3 linked regions of the Rhinolophus ferrumequinum genome follow. The protein of the gene in region 1 binds, or shares a complex with, the protein of each later gene. Links are inferred from orthologs where the notes say so. Each region holds a gene or a part of one and is shown in the gene's direction. Other genes may lie near its edges.

Region 1 (7,222 bases):
CTGAGCTTGGGGATTCTCATCCAATAAATAAAAGTGTTCTCAATTGAAACAATCCCACGGCATAGTCAGGATTTACATTTAAAAACTGTAAACTGTACGCCTTCCTGAAGCCAACTGGAAGTGTTCCTTAGCCAAAATTAAATATTTGGCACCCTGTCCTTTTGTTCTTCAGAAGGGATTTTGAGTTGGTCATAAAAATACCACAAGACAGCCATTCTTTAAGATGAGGGAGTAGGAATGAAGGAGAAATAACAAAATTAAGATGAAATTAGGGATAAAGGCAATTTTCATATGGCCTGCTATGATGCAGAACACAATAGCATGAAGGGGGCCACAAATTTAACCGAGTCTTATAGGAGCCGGTGCTGGGGAAAACCCGACCAGTTACTCAGTTCACAGTCTCTAAGACGTGTCCCAGTGTTGCTGGAGATGCTACCTTTGGGTCTGACAACGCTGACCAGGATTGCTGCTGTGTGTGATCTGGGGCATATACGGAGCAGGTGGTGGAACCAGGACTGTTTAACTTGGAAAGAGTAGATGTGGGAGGAAGAGTAGATTCAACCTCCCAAACATTTCAAGGATTGGCAGCAGGAAGAACCATTCTGGTTTTGGGGTATAGTTCAAAGAGCAGAATTAGGCCCAGCACAGCAGTGTTCAGAAAGGGAATGATGGCGACCCATATCCACAAAGAGACTTGAACAGAGTTGCGAAACCCAGAAAGGTCACCAACAGGAAATTGCATGAACACATGGTGATATAGTCATACAATGGACTATTACTCAGTAATGAAAAAAAATAAAAAAAAGAAACTACTGCACAACATGGGTAAATCTCATGGGCATGTTAAATGTGATAAAAGACGAAGTGGAACTTTAAGCCAACATAATCAGTGAAGAGGAGCTATGGGAGGAGCTAGGGCTTCTGGAAGTTCTTGCACTCTATGTAATTGCAAGAATCCCACACATCAGAACCCTACAGGAAGAAGTCTATGTTTATGGTAAAGCTCCATAGTTCTAACTTCCCCTTCCATTAACTTCCTTTTCCCGTCTCTAAATACTCCTCCATCTTGGCATGCAGGCCAGAGTGTGCACATGGCTTGCCATACTCACATGCCCTGGGTTACAACCCTTCTTTTTCCCAAATCTTTTTTTGGTGATGAGACACCTAGTCATATTATTTTTCAGTTGACAAATGAAAGAAGCCAGACTCAAAGGAGTACCTTCTGCATGATCTTATTTATGTAAAGTTCTTGAACCGGCAAAATTAATTTATGGTGGTAAGAGTCAGAATCGTGGTTACTTCTTGAAGGGGATATTGACTGGAAAGTGGCACCAAGGAATTTTCTGGAGAGATGGAAATATTCTCTGTCTTAAGCTAGGTAGTGGTTGTCTTAAGTTTACATGTATGTAAAAACTCAATGAGTTGTATACTTAAGACTTGTGCACTTTACTGCATGTTAAGTAATACGCAGTAACAAAAGGAAACATAACAGCTTGTTTAGAGAAAGGAAAGAAGGAAGAAATGGAATTGACCTCCCAGTGCAGAAGCTGGATGGGTGGCTCGTAAGAGTGGAAAGTGAAAGAATAGTTTCTCAAAGATGTCCAGGTCCTGATCCCCACGGTCTATTAATATGTTGCGTCATATGGCAAAGGGGAATTAAGGTTGCAGATGGAATTAAGGTTTCTAATCAGCTGAATTTAAGATAGGGCAATTATCCTGGATTATCTGGGTAGGTCCGTGTAATCACAAGCATCGTTTAATAGGGAAGACGGAGACAGAGAGTCAAAATCAGAAATGGCATCACCAGAAAGCCTCAACTGGCCATTGCTGGCTTTATAGACGGAAGGGGGCCATGAACCAAGGAATTCAGGCAACTATCAGAAGCTGGAAAAGGCAAACAGACAAACAAACAAACAAACAAAAAAACCTGGTTCTCCCTTAGAGCCTTCAGAAAGGAACACAGCCCTGCTAACACCTTGATTTTAGCCTAGTGAGACCCATTTCAGGCTTCTGACCTCCAGAACTGTATGATATTGGGTTGTTTTAAGCCACTCAATTTGTGGTAATTAGTTACAGCAGCAAAAGGAAACTAATATAGTCTTCAATTTTTTTGCATGCATACCCATAAAATAGTTTTTAAAAACTATCCCAAATATTTTAGTCACAAGTTTAAATAATTACAAAAGGAGCAATTTTTAACTTATTATTTATTATAATAATCCTTCCAGTATATTTTATCAAAACCATAGAGATGCAGACTGAGCCTATTTCATTTATGAAAAACGCTCTCCAAATGATCTAACTGGCAAAGCCTACTCTCATAGTCAAACCACTCACCTAAATCAGACTTACTCTTTGTTAGAAACAGTCTGACTTTGTTTATTCAACTTAAATAAATGTGTTGATATTTTCTCAGAAGAACCATCTCATTTCATTGATTCAAATATTTATCAAGCATCTACTCTTCTAGTTGTTTGGGATACACTGGTGACCAGCACAGACAGAAGAATTCCCACCCTCCTAGAGTGACTTCTAAATTCTATTTCTGAGATAGGTAGCTGGGAAAGCCCTTAGCCTAACCAAGAAGTTAACATCTCAATGAGATAGCATCACGGCCAGCAATATTTTCTTCTTTTCTTCTGTTTTTAAAAGACTCTTTAGTGAAGTATAACATAGTATGTACAGAAAAGTGCATAAATCTTTTGATGAATTTTCACACACTGAACATATCCATGTAACCAGTATTCAGATGAACAAACAAAATATTGTCAGCCCCCAAAATTCTCCTTCCTGCACCCGTCCATCATTACTTCTTACTGAACCTGCTTTTCTTAGTCTCACAGGGACTCTCTTGCAGGAAAGCAACTTTTTGGAATCGCCCTCCTTGTTCAGTGCCCATCTTGGGCAGTACTACAAAGTGGGGAAAAAAGTAATCGTGAAAGGGGAGATGCAAAAAGGGAATCATCTGATTCCAAACATCTCCCAGATAAAAACTATTAATATACTATAGATGTAAGCCAAGATTCTGGAAATTGATTCTTTAAATGGTTCTCAAAGTGTGGTGCCTGGACCAGAAGCGTGAGCATCACCTGGGAACTCATTAAAAATGCAAATTCTTGGATCCATCCCAGATCTACAAAACTGGAAACTCTGGGGTGGGGCCCAACAAGCTGTTTTAACAAGACCTCCAGGAGATTCTGATACATGATCAAGTTTGAGAGCTACTACCGTGCTTCCCCGAAAATAAGACCTAGCTGGACAATCAGCTCTAATGCGTCTTTTGGAGCAAAAATTATAGTAAAATAAGTAAAATATAGTAAAATAAGTAAAATTTATAGTAAAATAAATACTTATTTATAGTAAAATAAGACCGGGTCTTATATAATATAAGGCCAGGTATAATTATAATATAATACTGGGTATAATATAATACAATATAATACTGGGTCTTATATTAAACTTGGCCCCTAAGCAAGCAGAATCATCATCTGGGAACTTAGGAACTCAAATTATGAGGTCCTACCCCAGCCTCCCTGAATCAGGAACTATGTTCTAACATGTCCTCCAGGTGATGTTGATGCACGCCATAATTTGAGAATCAATGCCTAAAGCTATACTTGCCTGACCATTGGGGAAAACTCATGCATCCCCAGAGTTATCTGTACACCTATATGTAAAGCCTACTTCATAGGATATAAGGACATAGGATATAAGGAATCATTAGGATTCCTACTGACTAATACAGTGCCTCATCGTGGGTGCCCAGAAAGTGTTTGCTGAGGGAATACATTTAATACTTAAAACAATCCTGCAAAATAGGACGTTAATTAAACAGAGGTGGAATTCGAACTCTCCTCAACGTGGCCTTCACTATCGGGACTTGAGGTTTTATTTCTACTGCCCACAGCACCACTTCCACTCCCATTCCCCCTCCTCCCGGAAGGTGGCGCTCTGGGGCGCCCGTAAGGCCAGGCTGGGAGGCGGGACTTCCTGCTTCGAGGGAGCACTTCCGGCTAGGTCCGGAAGACCGTTAATTACCGTTGTGAGGTTGATTCATCGGTGTTTGCTGGAGCTAGGGTGTTGCTTTGGGCTCCCTCGTGTCACGAGGGTCAGGCGAGCGTCACGTGGAGGTCCATGTCTCAGACGAGCTCCGCGAGGCCCGGGCCACGTAAGTGCGCGCGCCCTGCTGGACGGCAGGAAGAGGGGTGCCGGGGCCGAGAAGAAAGCTCGGGTCTGCTCTCCGCGCGAGTCCACGCTCCCCAAGCTGTCTGGTGTACAGCGTTTGATGAGAGTCCTTTGCTGTTGAAATTCTAGGGCCTGGAGGTGGGAGTTGGAAGAGATGAGTAGGGAGGACGTGGCCAAGTAGATGCATGAGGGGAGGGACCGTCCGGATCCCTTCACCCATCTCCTGCTACAGGCCCACTTCCTGCGAGTCCCGCGTGGCAGTAACGCGGCCTTGGAGGTCCGAGGAGGCCTGGAGAGCCTCAGGTGAGGCTGGGAAGTTGAGGTTGCCTTTTCTAGAGGCTTTCCTGAGGTCGCGGGCTCCACCAACACCCTCGGGCTGCCTGGGTTTGTTTGAGGCTGTTGGATTCTCAGGTTACCGGCGCCCGGTAACTTGTAACGGGTCCTTGCCCTTCTCGGAATAGAAATCAAGACAGTGGGCGAAAATTTTGCAGAGAGAAAGGTTTATTAAAGCGAGAGTTTGATGCACCACGGGAGCACACTCCAATAGAGAAGAGCATAGAGCTCACGGAGTTTACAGTCACAGCGGTTTTCATAGACTCTTGGGGCTGGAGGCCACTGCTTCCTCTTTCTCGTCTCCCTCCCCAAAGTATGTTGAAGTGGGTCCTACATGCACCTGTGCAGTGTACCTACGTGCTACTTCATGCTAGCATCTTAAGACTCTGCCTAGCAGAGTGCTTTTTCGTATTCGAATGAAGAAAAGTTAACTATAGGACAGCTCTTTTCACTAATGTGCATGTACAACTTTAGACGCTTTTCCTGAGCCTGCTTATCTCTCCTGTGATTATGGCTCTGTTTGCTCATTGTTGCTTATTGGCCAGGGGATGGGGCTCAAGGTTGTTCTCCCCAGGTACAGGCTCCGGCTATGTGAACCCCTGACTACCCTGTTGTTCATTCATCCCTGGATTTGTTCTTTCAGCTTACTGGTGCTGATTGTTACCGTGTAGCAAACACCAAGGCCCTGGGGATAAAATCCCTCTCCCGCTTTTTAATCAAACAGTGACATCTTTAATTATGTAATTACACGTTGCAGTGCGTGCTCTGGAGAAAGCATGCAGAGTATCGTGGGAGGATGGCGTTGAGGGAACTGGGAGAACTTCCTGACTGGAAATCTGAAGGATGATTTTGTCAAGTAGGATGTTGAGTAGGATTTTGTCGGTAGACCGGAAGGACCCTGGCAATCGCTTCAAGCAGAGCGACAGTGTGCAGAGACCCTGTGGTGAAAAGCCTGGTGAGGAAGAACCTAGAGGAGGTCAGTGTGATTGGAGCCCAGGAACCAGAGACAACCCAGAGACATGCTCACACTGATGTATCAGGGACGCAGCCGCCTCTGAGAGGGAGCTTTTTCACTGCCGTCGGTACAGTCCCTCCTATGGCAGCCAGTGTTTTTCACAAGGACTCACTGAGCATCTTCTTGATTCCTTCCACTGTTCTCTCTGGTCACGTTAAAGGGAATGACAGCAGCAGCCAGGCACCAATAACCCAGGAATGCATGAGATACAGACCCTGCCCTCAGAGGGCTTGCAGTCTAGCGGAAGAGATAAGACTATACCGCTGGGATGAGGCTGACTTGCTGGACAAGTTTGACAAGTAGTTACTGTGTGATGGACACTTGGCGTGGTCCTGAGGATACGTGGATGTACGGAGCTTACAGAATCAGCTGATAAAATGCAGCAGCGGTTCCACGGGAAAAGATTTGTGCATACGAAGACCCGAATGCTCGTGTTTGCTTTGGGATGCACAGGACAGTGGCGGTGCAGAAGTTGGACTGTGAATTGGATGGGGGAAGCTGCTGGCCTTGGGCAAGTGGCTCCTTCCTGAGCCACAATTTCCTAAACTCCAAAATAGGGAGACTAGAAGGCTAACACATGTCGTCCTGTGTTTGGCAGATGTTTACACTCAGTGAGTGAGCGCTGCTGTGATTTGTGCTGTTAGTAAAAAAGAAAAAGAGGGATGATGTGGCTACTTGTACTTCTAGAGCACTTTGTATGTAGCAAAGCCCTTTCACTGAACTTATTTTTATTCAACACATAATGTGTTTTCTGGAAGATACTATACTTGACAGTGGTTAAGACAGACAAATAAGACTCAGTGCCTGGCTTGGGGGAACTTGAGTTACTCCTGGGAGTGTAGCCTGGAGTGTAGGGCGCGTAGCTTACAAATACGTGATTATAATACCTAAGAGCTATGATGGAAGCTGACCCCTTGCCACCTGTCTTCATCCTTTGCCACTGGCCACTCTTCTTGTTCATTGGATGGCCTCCTACTTGTTTCCCAAACACTTCCTGCCCTAGGACTCTTGTACTTGCTGTTCATTCTGCCAGAAACCCTCTTCCCTGTTGTCTGTGGTTCTCTTCCTCGGTAGGTTCAGGCCATGCCAAAAGCCACCTTCTCAACAAGTCTTTCCCTGGCTTCCATGGCTAAAAGCACACCCTTGGCCTATCGCCATCCCCTCCCTCATGGTTGGTTGGTTGGTTTTAATACAGTACTTCCTAGTCTCTGGCAGTTGGCTACATACTCATTTGTTCTTCATTATCTGCTCCTTCAAAGAAGTATACTCCTCTGAGGGCACTTTTCACTCTGGAGGCTATTGGTCAGATTCAGGCCTTTGAGAATGCCAGTGTGACGTGTGGTTCTTATTTTCTAGGATGGATTTCCCCAGCTCCCTCCGCCCCACGTTGTTTATGACCGGCCCACTTGGTCTGAGCGATGTCCCTGACACGTCCTTCATGTGCAGCTGGAGAGATGCACTGACCTTGCCAGAGTCCCTGCCCCAGAACTCCGAGGTAAGGATGGCAGGGAGAGAGAGCCTTCACTTGGCCTTCTCTTTACTGGGTGTCACCTCGGGCAAGTGACAGCTTCCCTGTGTCTGCATTTCTTCATCAGTAAAGTGACGATGACTGTTGTATCAACTCGGCAGGCTCCTTGTGAGGGTTGAATGAGTTAATAAAAGACAAGTGCTGGCGACGACACCTGTCCC
Region 2 (8,006 bases), on another chromosome or scaffold:
TTTACAAAAGAAATTTAAATTACTAAGATAAATGGAAACTTATACAAAGATTAGCTTTTGAAATTCAAATTACTTTCATTTCTTGGTAAGCAGCTTTAATGTTCAATTATTTTGATAACCAATTATAATATTTTAAAAATATATGGTTAAGTGTATTTTACAGTAAGTAGGCATATATACATAGAAATTAGTATCTTACCTCAAATGTTCAGGTGATGAGGTGTGCAAGCAGAGGGAGATAAATAAAATGAAGGCAAAAGAAAAAAATAAACCCAAACAAAAGTAATAAGGTGGGTGAGAAATCCCACTGGAGGCTAGTTGCAATAGGGTATAAAGGCAAAACTGGAGAGTATCTCTAAGAGCACTGTTGGAGTTCTCATTAAAATTGTTAATGGAAAACCTCATTAATCTGAATAGTCTGGTCCATGCTTACTTAGTAACTGAAAGGTGACCTTCAGCATCCCTGAAAAATTCTTTCAAAAATTTCTTTTTAACTTTTCCAAAGATTCACAAGTTTCTTAGAAATTGGGTTTTTAGTTTTGATGATAATTCCAAACACATCCCCTACAAACATGCTATTGCATACATTTAGGACTTGACATTTACTTTAGTACTTTTATTATCCTTTAATTACTTAATAGGCATAAACTGGTCTCAAATAAAATATAAACAGTTGATAATGGGCCCCAAGTCCTATATAATCATAATTCAATTTTCTCAAACATTTTTGAATTGAATAATCTATAACTGTTCAGGAATTAGCCATTTTAACTTTTGAAATAATGTCAGATGGACAGAAAATTACATACAAATAATTCTGTATACTCTTCAACAATATTTCCCAAGTATTAACATCTTACCACATTTTCTTTATAGAAACCAGCAAGTACTAATTAAGAACATGTCAAAATCTGCTCAATGAATAAATACATTTATAATGAGGATAATAAAAGCACTAGATATTTCTACTTATAGTAGAAATAATAAAGACTCAAGTTTAAATTCAAACCTGATTTTACACCCTTTAAAAGATGATCAGTTGTTTTTTTGCTTTTTGTTTTCCCCAAACCCACCAAAATAGAAACAAAGTCCAACCCTGGGAGGCTACTACCTGAATAATTGGTTTAGAAATGTAGAACTTCAGCCCCGCCAACATTCTGGAAGGCAGTGTGGTAGTGCGTGTATAGTGTGAGAGGGAAGAGGAGGTTGGAGTTGGAGTGATGAGAGAAAGGAATTATAAAGGTTGTAATACAAAGTCAGAGTGGCCACAGGGGGACAGCTTTGAGCCACAGGGAGGCACACAATATTTATTCTTCAGATTCCATTGCTGGGAGTCAGTGGCCCAGAAGTAAGGTCTAGCGAAGGGAAGAATAGAAATAGGCAGTTGGGTAAGTGGAGCTGCAGAAACAAGGCCCAAAAGGGGTAAACAAACTATGGCAACCAAGCTGATAACTGTTTATTAACTGCATATTATGTACTAGACACACTGTTAGGCACTTTACATTCTCTCAAAACCTCTCACAACGATGTATGTTATCCTCATTTCATAAAAGAGAAAGTCAGTTAAAAACACTATATTGACTAGAGATCACTCAGCTATTAACTGGTAGAAACAGAATTCAAACTAAGTCCAGCCCACTGTAAAGCCAGAACTTATTACTTTATATCATGTGAGTTAACTGGTGAAGGAATGACACATTTCAACAAATAGGAAGAATTTGCATAGAGTGATCTTACAGTACTCAGAATGTTGGGGTAGATGTTGGAAAATCATCTGTGAGAGTACTCAAAGGGCAGGAAGCCAAGGTTAACTAATCAATAAAAACAACCGCTATGAGGGCTGGAAGACCACAAAGAAAATTGACAGGCCCGGGAAGTTCCGACTTAGATAGATGCAGGCACTTTAGATAGATGCAGGCACTTTAAGTCTAGAATCTGTCCTTTTCTTGACCTTAGCTTATTAGCATAGTACAAAACACACCCCTGGGAGATTTCATATGCTAATTAAACATGCTATGCATGAAGCAGTAGGTTAGAATATGTACGGCCACTATGCCTGCGCAAAAAAGTCATGAGGAACCAGCAGGCGGAAGCCAGCAGTTTTCCCCGAGCAAACAAGAACAAAGGACTGAGAAACGTGTAAAAGGTGGACTCAGCCAGATGAGGAGGCACTCCAGCATTAGTTGTGAGCTCTCCTGATGCATCAAACCATCCCATCCTCCTTTAATAAAAATTCTTTTCTCCTTTACTGACAACTGGTTATTTCATTGTTTCTCGCACGATTTCCATCCTGGGAGAACTGAAAACCCAACCCACAAGTTGGGTAACAGGAGTTACCTGTCACCATCTGTTGCTCTGTTTCTTCCCCCTAGGCTGTGATCCCTGAAGATAGAACTGTGTTTCTCTTATCTGACTTCTGTTAAAGAAGAAAATTCAACTGAGTAAATTTGAGGATCTAATTAGCTTTATTAAGCGATTCATGGATCAGGTAGCATCCCATCCAGCAAGTAGAAGGGCGCTCCCAGGGGTTGTAAAAAATAGAAGGTTTTTATAAGCAGAAGGGTGTGGCTGGCAAGATACTAGCAAAAGAATAGAAAGGATTATTTTTAGGCCAGGTCATCTTTTGGGGTAAAGGGAATGCCAAGGGTTTTATCAAGCAGTTTACCTCACTAGTTTTGATCAAGATATTCTATACCGATTACTTAAAAATTCCACTCCTGGGAAAGGCTAAAATTGCAATTAGACTAGTTATTAGGTTTTGGTTTGGTGAATGTGCTTAGCAAAAGTGATCCCATTTTGCCTTGTTTCTTTTTCTAGCACTTCCAAGTGTGTAGCAAACTGGACACCAGTTCAGCCTAATTATTTACTGAACATTAACAATGTACCAGACTTAAGGCCCTGGGACAGGGCTGGCTTCATGGGTGTGCAACTAGGGTAGTTACACAAGGCAATATGCTCAGAATGGCACTTGGTTTAATGCTCTGTTGTCACCATCTTGAAATTCTTAATGTTATGTTTGAACTTTTGTTTAAGACTGATAGGACAAAGGAGCATGCTTGGGATGAGAGGAGAGAGGCACGATGTGCACGCCCACCATCATTCCAAATTACCCCCATTCACATAAAGCATTTGTGAAGCTGGGTAAGCATAGAATTCTGGTGGACTCATGATACATGGGGGTTTAGGAAGACTCAAAGTGTTGCGGAAGAAATGACGAGGACCGAGAGACTCAAGCGGCTCGCAGAGATCAGGGAGAACACAGCTTTATTACGCTAGCAGGCTCAGTGGGATTGTTCCCAAAGAACTGAACACTAACTGGGGTCAGGCGCTTTGTTTTATATGTTTAGGCCTCCAGGTTGGGGGGGAAATCTGGCCAGGGGGCCAGGGAGATCTGTCCCTAGCAGCTGTGTTTCTTTAACATTTGTTTTGACAGGGAGGCCTCTAACTATTGTCCCCGCGGGAGACATCTCCGATAAGGTATGGGAGGAGGAGGGGGATTGAGCTCTTAGGGGGGCTGCCTGCAGGAAAAACCATCCCAACAAAAGTCCTCAGATTCCATAGTACCGATAGAGTGTACATCAAAAAGTAAAATAAATACAGGTGAGTTAGTTTTGTGCATTCCCCACCGTTTTAGTAAGAACAGTAGATGTTTATATGAGTTATGAAATATGAATTGTGAAATTTCAGTGATTCTCCATACGAGTTAAATGTTCTTATATGTGTATTTAAAACTGGCAGCGCACAATATAAAGAATGGTAAAATTCATGCTAATAATTTAAAATTTTTCTTTAGAGTGAATTAAATAGCAAATTGATGCTAGTAATTAATAATAGCATAATTAATATCACAATAATGCTATCAATAATAAACTAACATTTTCCCCCTGATTTTTGAACAAGGGACCTTGCATTTTCATTTTGTACTGAGCCTCACAGATTACATGGCCAGGCCTGCTCCTGAATATGGCCGTAAGATATGTGATACTTACCTTTCATAGACTGGAAATGCCTAAAGGATTAGACTTTACGCCTGGAATTGTTCAATATTTGGAGGAAAACTGAGTGAAGAGACCAGATTACCTTCCACGTCTGTCCAATCCTGAGATGACAGTAACTATAAACTAACACTAGACAGCTTTACTGGTTTATCATATGATAAAAGAGGTATGAAAGTGGACAAATCAAACCAGCTAGTTCCTTTTTGTAACTATTTTGGGAAAGAAACCCCACCAAAATTTAGCTAGTTTAAACTGTTTTAACACTCAGTAACCGTTTAGGGAACTAAGGGGAAAAAACAGAAAAAAAAGTTGTTTTCTCTTGTGATACGTTAATCAACTCCTGAGAAGCTGACCCCTCAGTTTGAAGTGAAAGAGGGAGCTAACAAGTCCAAAGGTGCAGAGAGGAACTGGGTGTGCTACAGAGTAACACTGGCTTCTAGTACAAAGGTTACGTATTTTGAATAATGGTCAAGGCATGATCCTTTCACAATGTAACAGAGAACATTTTTTTTTGAAGACAAAACTATCCATAATATGACAAAACACACTCGGCACCGCACACAGACACCCCACTCATCCCCACACCCCCACACACCCTGGACCACAGCTAAGCAAAGGCGAGACCACCGGAAACAAATCATGTTGAGTGGCTGTTTCCTCTCAGGTTGCATCCATTCCGTTCATTTGATCCTACAATTTCTTTTTGTCATTTGCTGAAATGTTCTTGGCTGTTCTACTTACCTACTGGGTTAGGGAAACCTGCACCAGAATCCTGTCTCTTTCAACTCCGCCTCCTCTGAGTTCCCTAAAGCTCCGCCCACTTTTAATCGCTCCTCTTTTCGCGGAGATCAAAATGGCGTCTCCCGCCTCTCATTTTCTTTCCGGAAGTACATTGTTACCGCGAGATTTTGGCCCCACTATTAAGTGGGTCGCGCAGTTACCTCAGCCTTTTCTTTCGGTCCTTGGAGAGGTGGGTAGATGTCGGCACGTTGGAGTGCTGAGCCCGGAAGGTTGCTGGGTGCAGACCCCCGAGGCCTGGGCTACAGCCTGCGAGTAGGCTGCGGAGTTCCGTAGTGAGCCGCTCCTTTTTGGTGCAAGCTGACTGCCGACCTGGATGGGTAAGGAAGAGAACATGGCCGCACGGGGCTGGTGGGGCAGGGAGGGGTTGCTTTTCTACCTTTTACCGGGTCCACCACGTTGCTTAGGGAATAGCGAGCCGTAGAAGTCAGGCCTTGAGGGTGGAGGGCTCGCGGTTGTTTTGGGCGTGATCCATTGTGTCTGGGTTGTATTATAAAGTATTATCGACAAATACAGGTTTTCTGAGTTAATTAGTGTGAAGTAACAATTACGCCATTTTCCATGCATGAGGTTAGGTCCTTCCTGGAAACACTCGCCCCAAGGTCACACATGGTAAGTGGTTGAAAGGTATAGTTAGCGCTGGTAAAGTGCATTGTCTGGCCACGTGGCCTCTCATCGTAGAATCTTAGAATAGGAAGCGACGCTTAAGTAGGAATGCTTTCTAAACAAGGGTCCGAAAAAGTGGCTTTTGAGTTAACTCCACTTTAACCTCAAGAATACCACCAGTGCCTTTGGTCCAAATTTTGTTGAATTCGTTTTTGTGCATTTATTTCGTGACTTAATTAGAAGTTGCATTAAAAAACTACAATGATACCATGAAGATACCACGTGAATCTGCTGGATATTTTACAAATCTAAGATCTTTGTGACTTTATTGATTTCCAATATTTGAAATATTTTGCTATTTTATCCTAAGATTCCTTTCAATTTTGTCATTCCCACCTATACAAAAGTGGCAGAATGATAGCATCTTCTATAAGGGAGATGCAGTATTGAGATGTTATGTTTTTTAAAAATTATTTTGTACCAAACTACTCTAAAATCTTCCAAAGAGATTTTTTAAAAGGAAGACAAAGGGCACCATTGTAGTCTTAATCTTTCATTGAAACGTTTGAGAATTCAAAATTTTTAAATTAATACCCATAATGGCAAAGAGATAATATGCCAGGAAAGAGGGTTTCATTGATTTTGATAAGCCGTATTATGAATGGAAAGAGGCCATAAATGAAAATTCCAGACCGGGAGTTTAGTGTGGTGTATTGGATTGAGATAGTAAATTGTGATGATTATATTTCCTGGTATATTGAGGCCATGATTTGCCTTCTTGCTTTATAAGTTTTTCCTAGGAGTTCCTATCTGCTCTTGGAAAATGGCTTTTGGGCCACTAATTGAATGTTAATACTCGTAATTGCACATTACTATATGGCTAGTGATGAAATTATATTTTTTACTGTTATAGGAAGATGTTTGATATTTTTCTTGGGAATGACAGTACTTTTCTAGAATCTTGTTCCATTGGATAACTTTGGAGACACAAATGAAAGAACTTGTGAATAAAACTTCTAGATTTTAAAATTTGATCTGAAATGGTTGCTTCCTAAATGAAAATATTGAAGGCCTGTAAATGATTTTTGCCATGATTTACATATAATGGCATAATCTAACTACATCAGATTTTGCATTTTGGTATATTAGCTGTTTGTGCTGGCATTGATTTGTTCAAGGAAACTACATATTTGTTTTTTATATTGTCAGAAATTTGGTTAAAGCAAAGAACAAGTGACATATAATTTTGACTTGGAGAAGATACATATCAAGAATGGATTCTCTTGACTATGTAACAGCATCTGATTCAGCTATGGAAATTGACAATCAAAGGTAAGTGCATTTTTTTTGTGTTAACCACCAGTTTTTTACTGGAAAACACTAGATTCGATGATAATATTTACTGTATTTGAATCACCAGGAAGGCATCAATCGTTGTAGATAATGAGTGGTAAAGGTAATTTTCAAGAATTAGGAATGAAAAGAAAAACCTGGTTTACATAGACCTTCCAAGTTTATGTACTTACGTAGTTAACAGTGGAACACTTTCTTAACCCAGGAAAACAGTATATTCTCTGGGCCAACTTAATATCTATCTCTTCCTGACTAACTCTAATTTTATAACAAGAAAATGGACATCAGTGGGCAATCTTGCTTAAAAATCAACTTCGGAAAATAAAAACACAACTTATTGCACATTATGCTTGGCTTATGTCTTTGATGGCGGTATCTCCTTACTTCATCTGTTGTTTTCAATGGGTAATCAAATCAGTATTTCTAGTATACCTACTAGGCAACTCTTGAGTTATTTAAAGGAGCCTCCAGCATTGAACAAGACTGCCTGAGTAGAACTTGTATTTCTCTTGGAAGTTTATTTGGTGAGTGCTTTGGCCTTTGGGGCTATTTTAAAGTAGAGCGATCAGAACTAAGTGCTTGGCTAGTACTGAGCCCATCTTTAAAAATTATCTTGAGCATGTTTTCCTGCTTTGGTGAAAGAAAAGTACTTTACTGGTAATAAGCATTCTATTATATAAAGAGGATGCAATTAAGTTTCCCCCTTTTTTCCCTAGTGATAACTCTTCCTCTGGTAGCAGCTTATTTAAAACTCAGTGTGTTCCTCACTCACCTAAACGGAGGCAAAGAAACACAATTAGAAAGTTTGTTCATTCACCTGAAAGTGTTGAAGCAAGAGATTCATCTAGTGACTCATCTTTTGAACCAAGACCATTGACTTTAAAAGCTATTTTTGAAAGACTGAAAAAAAAGAAGTATAAAAAGAGGAAATATAAGCCAACGGGAAGACCAAGGGGAAGACCAGAAGGAAGGAAAAACACTAGAAGGTCACAAATAAATAAACAATTTAAAGCTAAAGGACCTGGGTTCCCATTTTTAGAATCAGAGAATGGGAGAAAATCACTACCTTGGAGAAAAATTTTAAGCTTTGAGGTGAGTCAGTATTTTATATATGTGGATATACCATAGCAAAAGTGCTTGAAATGATTTGTTGGTCACTTAGATTTTGATGTACTTACTGCCACTTAAAAACCACCCTATCCTTCAGCTCAAACTTCACGTGGGCTTCTGGCTGGAATCTTCCCTGGTATG
Region 3 (7,905 bases), on another chromosome or scaffold:
TGCTGTGTGCTGGGATCACTTGGGACGCGTCTCGCAGTGCTGGTGTCCACATTGTCCCCCTCCCCCACCTTGACAATTAACTGGAACCTCAGGCATCAGTGTGCATAGAGGTGCCTTGAACCGTAGAATAGAATAGAAGGGAGAACAAACACATTACTATTACCTTGGGAGAATCAAATAAGGCCTAGGGCTTTTGGAAGGACAGGCTTCTCTTTAAGAATGACCAGATGTTGACACAGGTACTTATGCGACTAGAAAGTGCCGTCTAAGCAGCTTCTCTCTTTGCTTCATGTCAAACAGCCTTTGTCTATTTACAGTCTGGGAAGCCTTGGCAACAAGTGTAAACAGACGGGGGCTTATCAATCTGCTAACTACATGTTAAGGTTACTACTTCCTGAGAGAAAAGCCCCTGTCCTCACACTAACTCCTAGGGGATTACGAACTCCACTCTGCCCAGAACATTCAAGTGCCTCAGTGCCTGATGCGGTGGAGCAGGTGCTGGCATACTTACCAGCCGACACGCTATCCCCCTTGCGCCCTGGACAGCTGTCACAGACGTGGGAGACGTGGTTGTGCTGGGACGGTCCGGGATGCACAGAACCACAGCACAGTGAAGCTACAGAGTGTATTTCATGAGCAGTTGTGGTTGTGTCAAGCAGAGTGGACCCAGCCCTCTTGTGGGTGTGGTGGGGACTCCACTAGAGAAGTCAGGCACCAGGGTGGCCCCCACAGCATGTTCTGCTTTAAAGGAATCAGTGGTGCCCTTGGCTCTGATCCTGGACACAAGCTCTGTACCTAGGAAGACATGACTTCTGAAAAACGGCGATCTTATGAATGTTTAAAATGCCTGGGGCATTAAAGTAATAATATTTCAAATGTTTTTGTCCCCTAAGGTCTCATAGTCTTATTGTGGGTGTTGATTGTCCTAGGACTCACTGGTGGGTTGAATCCATGATTCTGTTACCCAGCCACAGGCAGACTTTCTGTAAAGGGCCAGACAGTAAATATTCTAGACTTTGTAAGCCATGTGGGGTCTCTGTTGCAGTTTCTTCTTTGTCTCTTCCCCAACTCTTAGAAAATATACAAAACATCCTTAGCACATAGGCCATACAAAAACAGGCCAGAAGTGGCCGTCACTGGCTGAACCCAGCATGTCATTCAATACATAAGTCAACAGATTGTCCCTCCTAACTGAGACTTCCATAGGAGGTTTTGAAAAGCTTCAACATTCCTAAGAATATGGAAGGCCACACACATGTGTAGGGCTGTGTGTGTGCCCTTAGCTTTCATCTCTAACCAGGTGGATCTGCACAAGCAGGAAGTGAAGACTAAGACAGAGCTGTAAAACACCTTCCTGAGCATGAGGGCATGCCAAACGCGCGTGCGCGCACACACATGGCCCCTTGGCAAATACTGGGAGAATTACTGGCTCCAGGCTTTTAAGGAAATCTGTTCAATCATTAGTTAATCACTAAGCTAACTTAGCAGAGACTTCAGTGGCCACACCCAAGAAAGAATACAAGCTTTAGTTTAGCAAAGTCACTAAAAACACAAAGAGCTACAACAATTAATCCTGGAGAGGGGAGAACATCTGGTTTCCAAAGTTGCCTGATTATATTATTAAAATTTTCCAATTTTCAACACAAATCATGGGACATGCAAAGAAAAAAGAAAGTAAGCCTCACAGAGGAAAGAGGCAGTCAATAGACACGGTGCCTAAGGAAACCCAGGCATTGGACTCATTACACAGACTTTAATTATTTAAAATGTGTTTGAAGAACTAAATGAGACTGAGAACGATGTGTCATCAGAGGGCATATCATCATTAAAGAGATAGAAATTGTATTTTAAATAGAACCAAGTACAATGATGCCGATGAAAAATTCAGTAGAGGTGTTCAAAAGCAAGTTAGAGCTGGCAAAAGAAGCCATCGGTAAATCTGAAGCCAACTGAGATTATCCAGTTTTAGGAACAGAAAGAAAAAAGAATGAGGAAAAATAAACAGTGCTCCAGAGATCTACCTAGAGGCGTGGATGTATACCAGCATATATACATACAGGAGCCCTAGAAGAGAGGGGAGGGGAAGAAACATTGGAAGAAAACTTTCCCACTTTGACGAGAAACATTAAAATGCATGCAAGAAATTCAAACTAGGTAGGATAGACTCAAAGAGATCCACAACAAGACACACCAACCACTAAGAAAATAACTTTAAATATATAGTAAAAAAAAGACAAGGAAACTAAAGTGTTACACTAGAAAATACCTATTTAACAAAAGAGAAGGCAGTAATGAAGGAACGGGGAGCATATAAGGCAAATAGAAAACAAATAGCAAAAATGGCATACATAAACCCTACCTTATCAGTAGTTTCATTAAATGTAAATGGATTAAACACTCCAATCAAAAGACAGATTGGCAAAATGGATTTTAAAAAGCCAAAACAACCATGATCCAACTCTGAAGTGCTATCTGCTGAAGACGCACTTTAGACTAAGAAACAACAAGCAGGTGAAAGTAAAAGGATGGAAAAAGATATACCATGCAAACAGTAACTCAGGGAGAGCTTGAGCGGCCATACTAATAGTAGACAAATAATATTAGACAAAATAATTTTTTTTTTAATTGAAGCTTATTGGGGTGACAATTGTTAGTAAAGTTGCACAAATTTCAGGTGTACCATTCTGTATTACATCATCTATATATCACATTGTGTGTTCACCACTCAGAGTCAGTTCTCTTTCCATCACCATACATGGGATCCCCATTACCCTCATCTGCCATCCTCCTCCCCCTGACAAAATAAGCTTTGAGAAACAAAATTGTGACTACAGGCAAAGGACATTTTTTAATGATAAAAGGATCAATCCATCAAATTAATTCTAAACATATGAACCTAGCAACAAAGCCCCCAGATACATGAAGGAAAAATAGAAGATTTGAAGAGAAAGTTCAATAATATTAGTTGGAGCCTTCAATCCTCCACTTTTAATAATGGATAGAACAAATAGAAGATCAACGGGAAGTAGAAAACACTATAAACCAACTAAATCTAACAAATATCTATAGAGCTTGCCATCCAACAGTAGCAAAATACACATTCTTCTCAAGTACACGTGGAATATTCTGTGAGATAAACCATATGCCAGACCATACTACAAGTCTCAGTGAATTAAAAATGATTGAACTTATGCTACATCTGTCCTCTGACCACATCAAATAAATGAGAAATCATTAACAAATAGATTTGGGAAAATCACAAATATGTGGAAATTGAAACCACAGTCCTAAATAATGAGATCAAAGGGATCTCATTATCCCTAAATAATGAGATCCCTAAATAATGGGATCAAAGAAAGAAATCACAAGGGAAATTAGAATACTTTGAGATAGATGAAAATGAGAACATACCAAAACTTATGCAATGCAGCTAAAGCTGTTCCTAAAGGGAAATTTATGTTAAAATGTCTACATTAAAAAAAGATCTCCAGCTGAAATCTATGTAACTTTACTAACTATTGTCACCACCATAAACTTTAAGAAATCTCAAATCAACACCCTTTAGGTTTCTTCCCCCTTCAGAAACTAGAAAAAGAGTAAACGAAACCCAAAAAAGTAGAAAGAAATAATAAAGATTAGAATGGAAATAAATGAAACAGAGAATAGAAAAAAAGAAGAAATCAACAAGACCAAAAGTTAGTGCTTTGAAAAGATCAATCAAATAGACAAAACTTTAGCTAGACTGAGCAAGGAGGAAAAAAAAGAGAACTTAAATTACTAAAATGAGGAATGAGAGAGGGTATATTACTACAACACAAGTAGGATTACAGGGGAATCCTATGAACAGTTGTATGCCAACAAATTAGATAATCGATATTTACGGGCACATTCCTAGAAAGATACAAAACTGACGAAAGTGACTATAAAGAAGATACAGAAAATCTGAATAGACCTGACAAGAGACTGAATTAATGATCAAAATATCTTCCCAAATGGAAAAGCCCAGCACCAGATAGCTTGAGTGATGAACTCTACGAAGTGTTTGAAGAGTAATTAACACCAATCCAAAAAATGGAAGAGGAGGGAACACGTCCCAAGTGGTTCTGTGAGGCCACTGTTAACTCTGATAGGGAAACCAGACAAAGACATTACAGGAAAAGCAAGCCCACCAATCAGGAATATAGATGAAATCGCCGCGAGGGAGGGATTCCCAAGGGTCAGGAGGCTACTTGGGAGTGGTGGACTGACTCTATCCGAATCGTGGCGATGGCGTCACAGGTGACATACAGGTAAACTTACCAAGGGTTCCATTTTAAGTGTGTGTGTTTACTGTCGATCATCCCGCCATAGCGAACGCGGCTGTTAAAGACACACACACGAAGACGAGTTGAGGCACTCCTTGGTAAATCCCCACTGGAAAGATGGTGGCTCCTAGGACTCAGAGAGGCTACAGGGCTGGGAGGCCCCGTGGCGGCTGCCGGACCCCAGGACAAAGGAAGCCGTCAGCGAGCGCAGACCACCTGACCGTTCCGCGAGGTGCCCTCACGATTCCAGTGGGGTAGAGGGCAGTCAGCCAGCTTGTTTCTAGAAGCCGAGACGCGGCTGGGGTCTGCCCAGGGTGGGCATCAGCAATGATCGGGAAGTGGTCGCGGGGAAAATAGCGGCGCATTGAAGACTGCTCTCCACCAGCCTCTACTGGTGGAAGGAACGAGAGCCAGAGGGCAACGCTGAGTGGGGCGGGAGCGTACCGTCTCGGTACAGTTGTACACCGGCCCCTTCACACCACGGTTTCGCTTCCAAGTCGGCCCTATGTAAAGGACGGGCAGATTTCCGGCGGAAGTAGAAGAGCTACATTTCCCAGGAGGCCGTGGGCACCGTGCTTCCTTCCGGTGCTTCGGAGAGTGGCTGGAGGCAGGCGTGCAGGTGCCGCATGGATCCTGGCAGCCGGTGGCGGGGCCTGCCCCGCGAGCCCAGCCTCAAGCACTTGACGGACCCCTCTTACGGGGTCCCGCCGGAGCAGCAGAAGCCGGCGCTGCAGGAACTGACGCAGGCGCACGTCGAGTCCTTCAACTACGCGGTGCGCGAGGGGCTCGGCCACGCGGTGCAGGTGAGTGCGGCGCCTCAGGAGCCCTCCCAGCTCCGCGCTCGCTGGCGCCGCTCGGGCAGGCGGAGCAAAGGGGCCCTGCGAGGCCGGAGGCGGACGTGGTGGGAGGAGAAAGGGAAGGGGAGACCCAGGAGGCGGGCTACAGGGCCCAGAGAGTTGGCTGAGAGGTCACAGTATAATCCCAAATGGTGGTGCTCCGTGATTATGCCAGGCTCAGCGCGGGGCTTGGGCTCCAGTCGACCAGGGGAAGATGCATTCGTGATTCGTGGATTTATATGGGATTGGGAACCGTAGCATTTTGCAGAGCAGTTTCTGGGTGCTGAGAGAGTGGGGAGGTGGTCCGCCTGGGCTGTGCTTCTCAACCACAGTTGGTTGTCCATGGTTAACATGCTAAGAGAGCTCAGTGGTGCCCTTTCCTCAGTGGAACAGCAAAGCTTCCCCCAGGGAGTGGTACAGAAAAGCAGCAGCTGGGTAAGGGGAAGAACCACGATGGTGACCACCGTCCTCTTTGTATGACTCTGGCCTCAGTATGAGGCCACAGTTGGATGAACTGTACAAATATCAGCATAAAGAATCGCATTAGTGTCTGGTCCTGGATCAGGAGGTGCTTCCATATCCTTGGCAGCAGTCCCATTAGTCTTGCTGTGCTTATAGAGGATGCAAAGTAAGAAGAGAGTAGGCAGGCTCTTTGGTCAGAGAACAGCTTTGTTCTGTGTACATACGTTCCTAGGACCTTCTAGGAATCTGACACGTGGCAGACACTCAAATATTGGAGTTAATGCCTTCTAGTTTTAGGTACGTAGTGAGGGTGTGAGTAGACTGGAAGTAGTTTTCACTGTCATCTAGATGTGTCACATTAGCATTATAGTTTTGTAGAAAATGCATGGGATTTAGAAGGGTCTTAGTGAAAGAGGGCCTTGGCCATGCAAGCAGTTAATAGCGTGAATTGCATTTCAGGCTGTACCTCCATTTGAATTTGCTTTCAAAGAGGAGCGTGTGTCTCTCACTGTCGTGGATGCTGTCATCAGTCCTCCCACAGTCCCCAAGGGAAGCATCTGCAAAGAGCTCAACGTTTATCCAGCAGAATGCCGAGGCCGGAGGAGTACCTACCGGGGAAAGTTGACAGTGAGTGCAAGTGACAGTGTGTGACTCGCATGCTGTACATGTCTGAGAATAAGGCTGGTGCCCAATAAAGTGTAACCAGAATTCTGCTTTCTTGGTACCATCATCCAAGAAATCCCAGCTTTTAAGTCTAAAAGCATAAAATCATTTAATCTGTGGTCTCCTCCCTCTTTTAAAATGCTCATTTGTTCTTGCAGATCCCAATATTTTCTTTTTTCTCAAGTCATTGTTTTCATTTAGGCCGATATCAGCTGGGCAGTGAATGGAGTCTCAAGAGGAGTCATCAAGCAGTTTCTTGGCTATGTTCCCATCATGGTGAAGTCCAAGCTGTGCAATTTGTACGGCCTTCCGCCCAAAGCCCTCATTGAACACCATGAGGAACCAGAGGTGAGCGCATTCCGGGCACTGGGCAGCCAGGTGGCGATGGCGGGGGTCTGAGTGTGGACCCAGTTTTTCTTTCTCTGCTTCATTTCTGCAAAGGCAAAATGGGGCATTAATGTCTTGTCTGATATTGTGTATGGTTCATGATGAGTCTCAAATGAGACAGTGTGAAAAAGTGGCTATGCAGTAGAGGGTATTACGGGGAGAATTGATAGTTTCCCCAGTTTTCTGAATGGTACCCATTTGGAGACATACTTATTTTTTAAGCCATCTTAATCCACAAAACTATTGTCTAAAATGTCTGCTTCGCCAACAGTAAGATTCTTTGAGCATATTAAATGCTTGAGATGCCTTCCCTTTGGCATTTCTTTTAGCTGTGTGAGATGGCTTTGCAGTAACCAAGACATGCAGAGTGCCTTCATGGAGAGCTGTGTTATCAGTGGGAAGAGGGCTGTACTGTCACATCTGGGTTTGACACTCAGCTGCTCCACTTACCAGTCGTGTGGCTTTGGACAGTTCAGTCTCCTGAGCCTGTTTCCTCTGCTGAAAACGGGCACAGTAGCTACCCCACTCGTTGTTGTGAGAATGACATATTATGACAACACAGTGTACTAGCATGGCATGCCTGCTTCATGGTAGGCAATCAGTATAGGAGCTGTTTATTACAGAAATGTGATATTGATTGGAGCGATTAAAAATGTTTTCCTATAGTCTGAATTTCTGGTTTCCAGAGCTTTCATACAGTCAGCAGTTTTTTACCTTGTTTGGGACCATACTCATCTGGAAACGAAATGGTTACCGTTTTTTATTTGTTTTAATGTCATTTGAAAACTGAAGTCATTTTAGGGGACAGAAAGGCAAGTTAAGTCAGGACTGTCTGGTAGAGAAAGTACTTTGATTTCCTTCCATACTTTCCTCCCAGGCCCCTGCACCTTTTTTGTGTGCTTGAGAAGATTTAGTTCACACACTGACAGTTTCCCAGGGACCCATGGCTCTGTCACCTGTATGCCCCTCTCAGCACATTACACCGCATCTGTGGGAGTGACTTTGATGTTTGCAGTTAGTTGGTGTCCCATTTAAGTTAGTGACATATCTTTGTTTAACATGATAAGTCGTCTCTTTGGCAGGAAATGGGAGGCTATTTTATAGTCAATGGCATCGAAAAGGTCGTCAGAATGTTGATCATGCCTCGGAGAAATTTCCCCATTGCTACGGTGAGACCCAAATGGAGATCCAGGGGACCTGGCTATACCCAGTACGGTAAGCTGCAGTGATTCTTGGAACATTCTTATAGAAAA

What was found.
Region 2: TAF1C (region 1) and TAF1D share a complex: the UniProt entries of both Homo sapiens proteins name them as parts of the transcription factor SL1/TIF-IB complex. The link is inferred for Rhinolophus ferrumequinum from reciprocal best matches to the Homo sapiens genes TAF1C and TAF1D.
Region 3: TAF1C (region 1) and POLR1B share a complex: the UniProt entries of both Homo sapiens proteins name them as parts of the pol I pre-initiation complex. The link is inferred for Rhinolophus ferrumequinum from reciprocal best matches to the Homo sapiens genes TAF1C and POLR1B.

Annotation. Positions count from the first base shown.
Region 1 is NC_046298.1:29,691,785-29,699,006, reverse strand, and holds the start of TAF1C (TATA box-binding protein-associated factor RNA polymerase I subunit C), read left to right. Parts: upstream 1-4,201; 5' UTR 4,202-4,366; coding exon 4,367-4,488; intron 4,489-6,889; coding exon 6,890-7,028; intron 7,029-7,222. UniProt on the Homo sapiens protein: Component of the transcription factor SL1/TIF-IB complex, which is involved in the assembly of the PIC (pre-initiation complex) during RNA polymerase I-dependent transcription.
Region 2 is NC_046294.1:64,901,625-64,909,630, reverse strand, and holds the start of TAF1D (TATA box-binding protein-associated factor RNA polymerase I subunit D), read left to right. Parts: upstream 1-4,911; 5' UTR 4,912-5,116; intron 5,117-6,611; 5' UTR 6,612-6,675; coding exon 6,676-6,734; intron 6,735-7,471; coding exon 7,472-7,847; intron 7,848-8,006. UniProt on the Homo sapiens protein: Component of the transcription factor SL1/TIF-IB complex, which is involved in the assembly of the PIC (preinitiation complex) during RNA polymerase I-dependent transcription.
Region 3 is NW_022680356.1:219,581-227,485, reverse strand, and holds the start of POLR1B (DNA-directed RNA polymerase I subunit RPA2), read left to right. Parts: upstream 1-4,810; 5' UTR 4,811-4,930; coding exon 4,931-5,107; intron 5,108-6,061; coding exon 6,062-6,229; intron 6,230-6,466; coding exon 6,467-6,613; intron 6,614-7,734; coding exon 7,735-7,867; intron 7,868-7,905. UniProt on the Homo sapiens protein: Catalytic core component of RNA polymerase I (Pol I), a DNA-dependent RNA polymerase which synthesizes ribosomal RNA precursors using the four ribonucleoside triphosphates as substrates.